Arabidopsis thaliana: one gene and its partner. The protein of the gene in region 2 interacts with the protein of the main gene of each other region in a pairwise test. Each region holds a gene or a part of one and is shown on either strand. Other genes may lie near its edges.

Region 1 (6,014 bases), on a different chromosome or scaffold from region 2:
TTCGTTCATAGCCGAGGACAGTCAACATTTCATCAATGGCATTCTCCATCTCAGAGCCGAGCTCACCATTAAACGTTCCTCAGACCTGCACTGACTGTTTTCTTCTCTCTCTCTCTCTATGTCGTCACATTTAAGTTGTATAATCTCGTTATGTAGCAGCTCTAACCACGAGTGTCCTTTGTACAATAATTGCCTAAGGAGCAAAAGTATGGCTTAAAGAGTACCTCATTCTGTAAATTCTTTGATTGGATTTTTTTACTTTTCTATATGGGTCTTTATAAATAGTCCAAGATAGAATTTGGGCCTAGCTTTTGAGGTTAGTCTTAAAATATGGGCTCAAGGCCTACTACGATGCGTAATGATGAAGCTAAATTGCCTATAGTGTGAACATTAGGCTTTTATATTCAAAGTTCAAACAATGCGGCTATAGCAATGGTACATCGAGGAAATAGAATGAAGTGACAAGGATAATTTAGGAAATGAGGATAGAGGAATTGAGTCCTCGTCACATGGGGCCCACATAAATGCGTAAGTAAGACTATCCGCTTACCAGACGGACACGTCATTTTGTCGGGACACGTTTGAGCCGTTGGATGATTAATCTCCTTTTCTGACTTATCGACCCCACTTTTTTTTTCCACTACAAAATATTGATGGCCACGTCAGATGATTCGAAGTTATATAAAACACACGTTTTTATTGCAGCTTAACCGTCGATTTTTTTCTAATCGAGAAACCGAGATCAACGGTCTATATTCAAAGCTGATGTGGTCTGTACCTTTGCTTACGTCACCGAAAACCTAAGTTGAATAATACTAGTACTAGTATTATGCTCTCTGATTTCTTTCTACAGTACACAAAATAAAAATAAACAAAAATAGAGAGCCCAGACAATATTTACTACATCACCCAATGGATAACCGACACGTAGATACATCCATGTGAGTCGCATTTTGTAATGTAGGGACCACTTCGTGGATAGAAGCTCTTTTACGCCAACGCAAAAAAAAAAAGCCTCGTTGGCCCTTTAGCCTCTAAATGCCAATAACTATCTACTGGCGTGGCTTAGTTTATACCGTTGGATCATTTGTTTATCCCAGCCGTTGGATTCGAAGCAGTTGTCGGGCTTGTGGGCCTTTTCTTTATTGTTTTGTTTTCATAATAATGAAAGAAAATAAACTAAAAAAGTATTTTTTATTTTTCCTTTTATGGTGATTCCATGATGGCAAAAACGTGGCCATACACGTGGGTCGTCTCGTGGCACCTTTGGAAGATACGAATCGGTAGTGAATAATGGACGGTTCGGATCTTTAGTTTTGTCGACAGAAGTGCTCTCCGCGTCGGAGATACTACTAGTCAAAGGTCTTTTCTTCCTTCGTATTTTACCATAATGTCCCTTCTTTCTAATCAAATTTTTATCATGTATCCAAATTATTCGAAGCAATATTCTATATAATAAACAAATATGCCCATCGGTAAGTAGCAAAAGTTAAATTGTGTTTATTTTCATGCCATACAAAAATAATGATTCTGAAAATTCGTTGGAAAGATTGTTTAGTTTTCTTATTTTTATGTTGCACATGACTTCACTGACGTGTGAATGTGATGACGGATTTTGAAGAGGATTATACACTATGGTAAATATCGACTATAAAAATAATCTAAACATGAGGGAAGCGTAGAGCGACTAGAAATCGAACACGTGTACGGTAGAGATGACATAAGAAATGGCTGGCACTAAACTCGATGAGCCAACTCATCAAACACCACCGTAGTTTACGCTGTTATATATTCTCATGACACGTGTCTGATGACGTGGTCATCGTCTTGGCGCTCCGTTTTTTTTCTCTCTCTCTCGCGTCTCCCTTCCCTCAAAAAAAAAAACTGAACTCTTTTTCGCTCTGGTTTTTTTAGAGAGAGAGAAAGATGAAAATGCGTTTAATTGCTGTTTAGGTTTCGAATTCGCGATTTAAATTTCTGGGTTTCTCTCTGTTTAAGCTTCTTCTTCTTCATCTTCTGCTTACGTTTCTTCTTCAAGGAGCTTTCGGATTCTTGTAGGTATTGCGTAACTTAAATGGTTCAAATAGAGATTGTTTGGTCGAATAGTTTTGTGATTTGGTTTCTCTATCATTCATTGATCTTCTAAGTTTTGTGAAAATTTTGCCATTTTTGATCGTTTGCTTTTGCATTTACTTGAATTGAATGAAAAATTATAAGTTTTGAATTTGAACAAAAACAGCTAAAGCGTAGAGAAGAACAGAGTTTCTTTTTTTGGGTGCATGTGATTGTTTCAGGGGTAGAATTGTCCAGTAGTGTCTACTTTGTTGATTCCTTTTGTCTTCCTGAAAGTTTTCTGAACATAGGATGTGAGAGAGAAATACTATTTTACCCTTCTCTGTCTCTATATTTCTCACACAACAACACCCATCCCCATGATTTTGCAGAAAGAGTCATTGTTCTCTTGAGTGGGAAACCTTGAAACCATTCCTATGGGAAATAGCAGCGAGGAACCAAAGCCTCCTACCAAATCAGATAAACCATCTTCACCCCCGGTGGTATGTTGAACAGTTTCAAACCATAATTCCAAAGTCAATTTAGTTTTTCTTAAATTCCTTATGCGTTGACTTGACTCTTGTTGATAGGATCAAACAAATGTTCATGTCTACCCTGATTGGGCAGCTATGCAGGTTAGTCTTTTTTTTATTACGCTCCAGTTATGTACTAGTAATACCATGATTAATAATGATTTTCATGATGTGTTGCTGCTAGGCATATTATGGTCCAAGAGTAGCAATGCCTCCTTATTACAATTCAGCTATGGCTGCATCTGGTCATCCTCCTCCTCCTTACATGTGGAATCCTCAGGTACTAAACACAAACACGAATCATCTTGTGCTAATATGGTAAAGATTAGGAAGACGTTTCATTGGTGTTTTGTTGGTCTTAAATCCCTTTCAGCATATGATGTCACCATATGGAGCACCCTATGCTGCTGTTTATCCTCATGGAGGAGGAGTTTACGCTCATCCCGGTATTCCCATGGTATATAGTAATTCTGTTCCTCAAACATCTCGTAGTTGAATCCTCCGTGATCGTTTATCTGACTTGGCTTTGAGTTTCTGTGGACAGGGATCACTGCCTCAAGGTCAAAAGGATCCACCTTTAACAACTGTAAGTTGTATACCTAGTTTGATACATCAAAGATTGAGAAATGGTTTTGTTCGCTGTTTAATGGATAGTTCTTCTTTATCGCAGCCGGGGACGCTTTTGAGCATCGACACTCCTACTAAATCTACAGGGAACACAGACAATGGATTGATGAAGAAGCTGAAAGAGTTTGATGGGCTTGCTATGTCTCTAGGAAATGGGAATCCTGAAAATGGTGCAGATGAACATAAACGATCACGGAACAGCTCAGAAACTGATGGTTCTACTGATGGAAGTGATGGGAATACAACTGGGGTAATGTTTCTCTTCTCTTACTCTCAGCTATCTTTAGTTTTCATATGATTGTCTAAAGTCTAGAACCTCACTTATTGCATGTTTCCAGGCAGATGAACCGAAACTTAAAAGAAGTCGAGAGGGAACTCCAACAAAAGGTATATAGCCTTATTCATGTCCCAAAGAGTTAGAATCAGTGTAAATATTAGATATAATGGGAGTTTTAATTCGGTTTTTTTGGCAGATGGGAAACAATTGGTTCAAGCTAGCTCATTTCATTCTGTTTCTCCGTCAAGTGGTGATACCGGCGTAAAACTCATTCAAGGATCTGGAGCTATACTCTCTCCTGGTGTAAGTGCAAATTCCAACCCCTTCATGTCACAATCTTTAGCCATGGTTCCTCCTGAAACTTGGCTTCAGGTACCCTGTGACTTATTCTCAACTTCCACTTGTTGGATTTTCGAGCTAATCTGATCCGTTTCCCTGACCAAGTATTAAATTTTGTCTTCAGAACGAGAGAGAACTGAAACGGGAGCGAAGGAAACAGTCTAATAGAGAATCTGCTAGAAGGTCAAGATTAAGGAAACAGGTTTGGTTACTGAAAGAATACACTGAAGCTCTTTAGAAATTCTTTCTCTTAGTGTGTAACTCTCACCAAAACATTTAATAAACTAACAAACTGTCTTTCCTTGTTTTGAAGGCCGAGACAGAAGAACTTGCTAGGAAAGTGGAAGCCTTGACAGCCGAAAACATGGCATTAAGATCTGAACTAAACCAACTTAATGAGAAATCTGATAAACTAAGAGGAGCAAATGCAACCTTGTTGGTAAGTAAGCTATCATTAACCAACAAATTATCTTTATGAAGGCGTGTCATTTTCTTGAACATGGCCGGTTCTTTTTGGGTTGCAGGACAAACTGAAATGCTCGGAACCCGAAAAGAGAGTCCCCGCAAATATGTTGTCTAGAGTTAAGAACTCAGGAGCTGGAGATAAGAACAAGAACCAAGGAGACAATGATTCTAACTCTACAAGCAAATTGCATCAACTGCTCGATACGAAGCCTCGAGCTAAAGCAGTAGCTGCAGGCTGATCGATGGTAATTCATGTCGATTTCTACTTAATTTGTCGACATAAACAAAGAAAATAAGTGCTACTAATTTCAGAAAAACTTGATAGATAGTATAGTAGAGAGAGAGAGAGAGAGAGAGGTGTGATGATTATTGATCTATAAATTTTCGGAGAGAGAGAGGGAGAAAGAGAAACTTTTCCTCCAGATGAAAATTTGGTGTTATGGTTTGTTACTGTTAATATAGAGAGGCTTTTCTTTTTTTATAAAATGGCTTCCTTTGTTGCATTTCCTTGTTTTAGACCTGATGTAATTTTATGAAATCGGTGTTATTGCTTTGCGTAAGCTTTTGTTTCTTTTGTCAAGGTTTCATGCATAAAGGATCTTTCTTTTCAGGTTTCATACATCTCTCTCCGAAAATTTATAGATCCAATAATCATCACGAATATCACAAACATTATGAGTCTGTCTTTGGGTGATTTTCTTCGCTACTCTTGAGGACTGTCAATCACACAAGGCATTCTTTTCTACAACCGAGTTTATTTTATAAAAGCTGAATATTAATGCTCGCTCACACATAGAGCAGGTTAATTAACTTGTACTGAGAACTCTGGAAATGAAAACTAAAGATTCTGTCAAAATTCAAAAGCTTTATCATCAAGGTATTTGTATTGGTAGTAAATAAAAACATGAAAATGTTAAAAGAGAGAGAAAACAAAATCCGGAATGGGAGACTTTTTCAAAGATTCTAAAAGGTTGACGTTCAAGTAGTCGGAATCTAAATCTTGATGTTGAAGTAGTCGGAGTCAAAATGATGCAGCCTCACGTAACCGTCTTCACCTCCACTAGAGAAACTGAAATATACATTCCACAAACTCAGTGAGAGAGCCAAAACACACACTCAAAACCTCATCATGTGAGGATTGTGTCAATCAATCAAAATCCAAATGTTGTTAATTTACCTCTTCCCATCAGGATTGAATGCCAAAGCATTTATAGGTCCAAAATGACCTTTCACACCACCAATTTCCTCTTGCAGAATCTATATATTATACCAAACACAATGATACACGGTTATTTAAATATGTGTATTTTCCAGGTTACATGTTTCCAAGTAAAACACTCTTATTATAAACACTAACCTTGTCGTAAAACTTAGCTTCAAACTTTCCAGCACGATGATCAGTGGTAGTCACAGCTGATGCATCTTGACCACCTCCAAGTACAACCTAAAAGAGAGAGCAGAAACATTCACAAAGATAACATCATGCCTTGCTGATTCTGGGATTCGAAATTGAATTTCATGAAGCATTAGTGCATACATGGTTGAGAAGTGGAGACAGGGAGACAGCATTTACGGGCACCACAGTGGTGTAAGTCTTAAGAAGAGTCAGCGTTCTCATGTCCCAAAGCTGAAACAATCAACAAAAGAGAACACTCTATTAGATGATTTATATCTATATGTATAGTGCAAAAATTTGAAACAAGATATACTGTACAAGTAAA
Region 2 (5,079 bases):
GCAAAGGCTTGTTGCCAAGGAGCTGAAATCTTATCCGGAAGCCCATCAAAAGAGTTTTGTTGTCGGGAAACTTGCGTGAAATGCATCAAAGGTATGTCGCCATGTCGATTCTTCAAATTTCTTATCATAGTTAAAAGTTTTGGTGTTAGATCAACTGTTAATTTTTTGTTTCCTATTAAGGTCCTGATGACTCTGAAGGCACGGTGGTGACTGGAGTTGTGGTGCGTGATGGGAATGAACAAAAGGTTGATCTGTTAGTGCCATCGACGCAAACTGAGTGTGAATGTGGTCCTGAAGCAACTTATCCAGCAGGAAACGATGTGTTCACTGCACTTCTATTGGCTTTACCTCCACAGACATGGTCAGGGATCAAAGACCAAGCTCTTATGCATGAAATGAAGCAGCTCATTTCCATGGCTTCCCTCCCAACTTTGCTTCAAGAAGAGGTAACGCTTTTACCAATTCTATTTATCGGTAATCATCAAGAGTCACGGTTCTCTCTCTAGTGGAAAATGGGATCTTTGTACTTGAGATATATAAGTCTTTTGGAAAAGAAACAAATAACTTAATCTAAGTTGAGATTGACAATGACTATTTTCGAGTTCATCCTTAGATATAGCTAAATCAAATGCCGAATCTAAATGAGTACTTGGTGAAATGAATCTGTGAAGCAGATGAGTAACGTGGTGAATTTGGTGTAAATGCAGGTATTGCATCTTCGACGGCAACTTCAGCTGCTAAAACGATGCCAAGAGAACAAGGAAGAGGATGATCTCGCTGCTCCTGCCTATTAGTTCATTGTCCCAAATCCTCTCTCTTCCCCATTTGAATCCCACGTTCTCAACACTTAATTGTTAGAAAGTCTCTTTATTCTCTGTACGATTCAAACTCTATTTGCAATGAGAGATATATGTAACTTGCATTCTATAAATTGTTAATCACAATAAGTTAAGAATCCTAGAATCATATTTCATCACACTCAAATGCAGATTATGAATCCACTATCCACAAATAAGTACCAAAGGCTTACATTCAAAACAACAGTATCCCTTAGTCCCAACTGTGTACACTGTTTTGCTAAGGATCATTCGTATTAGACAGTCAAATTTTGAATCCGGATTCTAACAGATCCTATTGCAGACTGGATCTGGTCACTTTTTCACCGATCAGTGGCTATAAATACTGACAGAGATATGGTTTTGATTCTTAGAAAATCTCTTTATTCTATGTATGATTCAGAGAGATTTTCAAATCTCATTCTCCTACTTAAATGTTCATTGTGGCCATCAATATCTTCACTTGACTTGATTATCTAATCTCTGGTCACAGCGAGATGCAGTGACACAAGTGCATGGAACTGTAACTGTTGGAGCACGTCAGAAAGTTCTTAACTTCAGGAGCTCTTATCTTATCTGGAAGCTCATCGAAAGACTTCTATTGTCGAGATAGTTCTGTTAAATGCATTGATGCCTGGGGTTGAGGAAGCTAAAGTGACAGCAGGGATGGTAGTTAATACCAATAATGAACAAGAGGTTGGCCTATTGGTGCCGTCAACCCAATCTGTCACCAAAGGTTCTGAGTATGGTCCAGAAGCAAAGTACATAGCAGGAAACGATGTCATCACTGCACTTCTGTTCGCTTTACCTCCACAGACATGGATAAGGACCAAAATCCAGATCTTTCAGAACAAAATGAAGAATCTCGTTTCCATTGGTACCCTCTTCACTATGATCAGCCTAAATAAGATCAATCTCAGCAAAACCAATAACATATGCAATCTAATATAATATATAAGTTATTAACCATAATCATTACACTCTACTGCAGATTATGAATCAACTCTCACACACACATACACAAAGTAAGTAACATTAAGACCCTAAAATCCTCAAAAGTCTATACCTCTTATCACCATTCCAAAGACCGAATCCTGCGTAAAAACCGTGGTGGCTGCTGCTTCGGTTTCTCAACAACAGGAATCACAAACTCCATCAACTTCTGGTATCTCTCTTTCCTCTTATCTTCAATCTCCTTAGAAAGCAACTCATTCTCTTCCTCAAGCTTCGCAGCCAAAGCTTCTAACTCAACTTGATAAGCTTGTTTCCTCTCTCTAGACCTAGCTGCAGATTCACGATTCTTAATCATCCTTCTCTGTCTCTGTGCAGCTGCTTTATCCAATGGCTCAACCATCACTCTCGCTCTCTTCCCTCTAGCTCCTCCTCCGTAAACATCTAAACCATTCCCAAACGCAACTATTGATCCTTCTACTTTATCAATCATCTGAAACGGATTATGCGGCGGTGCAGAATGATCGAATCCGTAATTCGTCACCGGAATCTTCACATCCAAATCCTCCGCCGACGCCGTCACCGCTGTTTCGTCTTCCACCGCAGCTTTCGCTAGAAAATCCTCTAACGTCATTATCTCTTCCGACGTCTCTTCCTTCATCCCTTTACCTTCTCCTGATACCATCTCTCTCCAAATCTCATCAACACTCTTCCCACCACGCGTCGTCTCCGTTCCTCCGCCGTGATCCACAACATCAGAAGCCGTCGTTGTTGTTATCTCCATTGGTGCTGGAGAAGCATCCATCAGATTTATCGACGCATCTAAGAGTGAAGATTCCGTTGGTGCTGGTGGATCTGATGCGAAAGTATCGTGTAAAATCCCTTCGACCGTCATCGAATTTGAACTGTATAATCCGTCGTTTCTTCCGCCGTAACCGACACTTGTTAGATCTCGCCGGAACTGTTGTTGAGGTCTTATAGACGAAGAAGAAGTAGAAGCAGAAGAGATGCGACGAGATAGATCCGAGTTTCTCGAATTTGAAGAACGCATCACCTGAAACGACGTCATTTCTGGAGAAGATGATGAACAAGTTCCGTTTGTTTCGTCCTCTTTCGCCGGAATCGGATCAGAGAATCACTCTGTTTCTTTGACTCCGCCAAATGTTGAACTTTACAGAAGCAGAGATTAGGGCTTTTTGTGTCGAATTGAGAACCTTTGAGAACTTTTGGTAATTTATCCCAAATTGTAATTAATTGACTTTTATTACTTTTTTAAAATACCACGCGCATATGTGGCACGTGAGTTTTAATTTTTAGACTTACCAAAGAAAAGAGCTGATTTTGGTAAATTGGATAAGGTTAAAATCAAAATGGATAAGATTTTCTAACTTTTGGAGCGCGTGGGAAGTTTTGTCGCGTGTCATCAAACTGTAGTTGTCAAACTTGCATCAATTATTTCAAGATCATTAATGTATTATAACTTGACTATTATTACTTGAATTTAGTTAAGGTAATTTAATGACGTTATTTTAACTCGATGGTAGTTGTTTTTAGAGAATATTACACTGTAAGATATTTTTTAAAAAACATTTTTATGGTTAGACACTTTTTAAAGATAAAGCATTTTGAATAGATGATTTGACTCATTTATCGTCTAATCACATATCGTTTTATCTCTCTCCTTCTCTTATTTATTCTCTCTTTTTCTTTTACTTTATCGAGAAATAAACAAAAATCAAGCCAAAAAATAGATTTCTTCCTTTTTCCTTCTTCCATCTTCAACAAATCATCCGCTTTTATGAGAAAGAGAGATTGAAATTCAGCTTTTTAAATTTTCCACATCTGCTTTGATCTGACTTGAAGGAGAATTTTTTCAAACCATCAATTTGAGAATCTGCCCGATCTGGCTGATTTAGTTACATGACTCGTTGAATAATTGAATTGGATTTGCGGTTTGGTTTTTGTTTTATGTTTTTGTTATTTGTTGCAAAATTAATCTGATTACTTGCTCTTTAATTCTTTGTCTTTCTTCTCCAATTTCATATTCGAGATTATTCTCTTAAATTGGAGATTAAAGCCTCGCAGTGGACTTCGAATTATTTGATAGCAATTGTCGAATCACTAATTGATGGAACTCGTTGCTTAGTCCATGTTCTGTGAATTTGATTCATGATTATATTTGAGTTGTATATATTCAGAAAATCTGGTTATCTTATGTGTTCATCATAAACGGTTTATAAGTTTTTTGATGGTTGATTCACTTATTGAAGAACCTTGTTGCTAGTTCTGGTTCTGTGAAATTGATGGAGATTTTAGCTTAGATCTGAGACTAATTTTCATTCACAGATGTTAGACTGATTTCTACGTTTGTGTTTAAGATATAGATGTTAAAAATTTGGAGCAAAATCGAGAAGATCATCTTAACAGAGTTAAATGAACAGATCTCTGTGGATAACGATTTCTGGACACGTTATTCTTTACTTTTTTATCTCAAAATCCAATCGAGAAGATCACCTTAACAGAGCTAAATGAACAGACCTCTGTGGACAGCGATTTCTGGACACGTTCTTCTTTACCTTTTTATCTCAAAATCCAATCGAGAAAATCATCTTAACAGAGTTAAATGGACATACCTATGTGGACAACGACTTCTGGACACGTTTTTCCCTTGAATTTGTGATCATTTATGTTATATCTTGAGATGTTCTGTATATAAAATCAAACTTGGACTTGTATTTTAAAACCTTAAAATCCAATCGAGAAGATCATCTTAACAGAGTTAAATGAACAAACCTCTGTGGACAGCGATTTCTGGACACGTACTTCTTTACTCTTTTATCTCAGTTTACTTGAACTTATCTCTAAGTTTTTTGCTATCAAATTCTATGGCTTTTGAAAAGGAATGACCCTGTTCTTTTTGTAATCGATACGTCAGCGATCGGCGACTGATTTTTTTTTAACTTACTTGCGTGTAATGTATGTAGAGACTAACAGGGGCGGACGCAAGTGTATGAGTACTGGGGCACGTGCCCCATGCAAGATTTGATAATTTTGAAGTTTGATGTGCAATTTGTATTGGAGATGAAAGAATTCGTTTGTTGTGCCCCATGTTATAGTGATTTTTTTTCTAATCAGTTGGTTATTACTCATTATTTTTACTATTTTCAAGTAATAAATGTTTTCAGTATTTAACTTATTTTTCCAAATTTATCTTTTTCTATAACTCTTTGAAAGAATTATGCTAATACAAGGACACTTCAATTTTTTCTTTTTCCATTTACATGTCTTTTAA

The links. The genes of interacting proteins can lie anywhere in the genome.
Region 1: the proteins of AT5G44080 (region 2) and GBF3 interact in a two-hybrid assay, tested with the Arabidopsis thaliana proteins (one large-scale study listed by BioGRID).

Annotation. Positions count from the first base shown.
Region 1 is NC_003071.7:18,998,370-19,004,383, forward strand, and holds GBF3 (G-box binding factor 3), read left to right. Parts: upstream 1-1,810; 5' UTR 1,811-2,058; intron 2,059-2,444; 5' UTR 2,445-2,489; coding exon 2,490-2,555; intron 2,556-2,642; coding exon 2,643-2,687; intron 2,688-2,769; coding exon 2,770-2,865; intron 2,866-2,958; coding exon 2,959-3,042; intron 3,043-3,129; coding exon 3,130-3,171; intron 3,172-3,255; coding exon 3,256-3,462; intron 3,463-3,550; coding exon 3,551-3,599; intron 3,600-3,685; coding exon 3,686-3,861; intron 3,862-3,952; coding exon 3,953-4,030; intron 4,031-4,141; coding exon 4,142-4,267; intron 4,268-4,352; coding exon 4,353-4,532; 3' UTR 4,533-5,034; downstream 5,035-6,014. Other genes in the region: LRB1 (BTB/POZ/Kelch-associated protein), read left to right, coding at 1-94; TRIP-1 (TGF-beta receptor interacting protein 1), read right to left, coding at 5,287-5,362, 5,471-5,550, 5,651-5,737, 5,831-5,920. UniProt on the Arabidopsis thaliana protein: Binds to the G-box motif (5'-CCACGTGG-3') of the rbcS-1A gene promoter. G-box and G-box-like motifs are cis-acting elements defined in promoters of certain plant genes which are regulated by such diverse stimuli as light-induction or hormone control.
Region 2 is NC_003076.8:17,736,879-17,741,957, forward strand, and holds AT5G44080 (Basic-leucine zipper (bZIP) transcription factor family protein), read right to left. Parts: upstream 3,072-5,079; 5' UTR 2,857-3,071; coding exon 1,909-2,856; 3' UTR 996-1,908; downstream 1-995. Other genes in the region: CAD1 (phytochelatin synthase 1 (PCS1)), read left to right, coding at 1-91, 181-446, 708-794.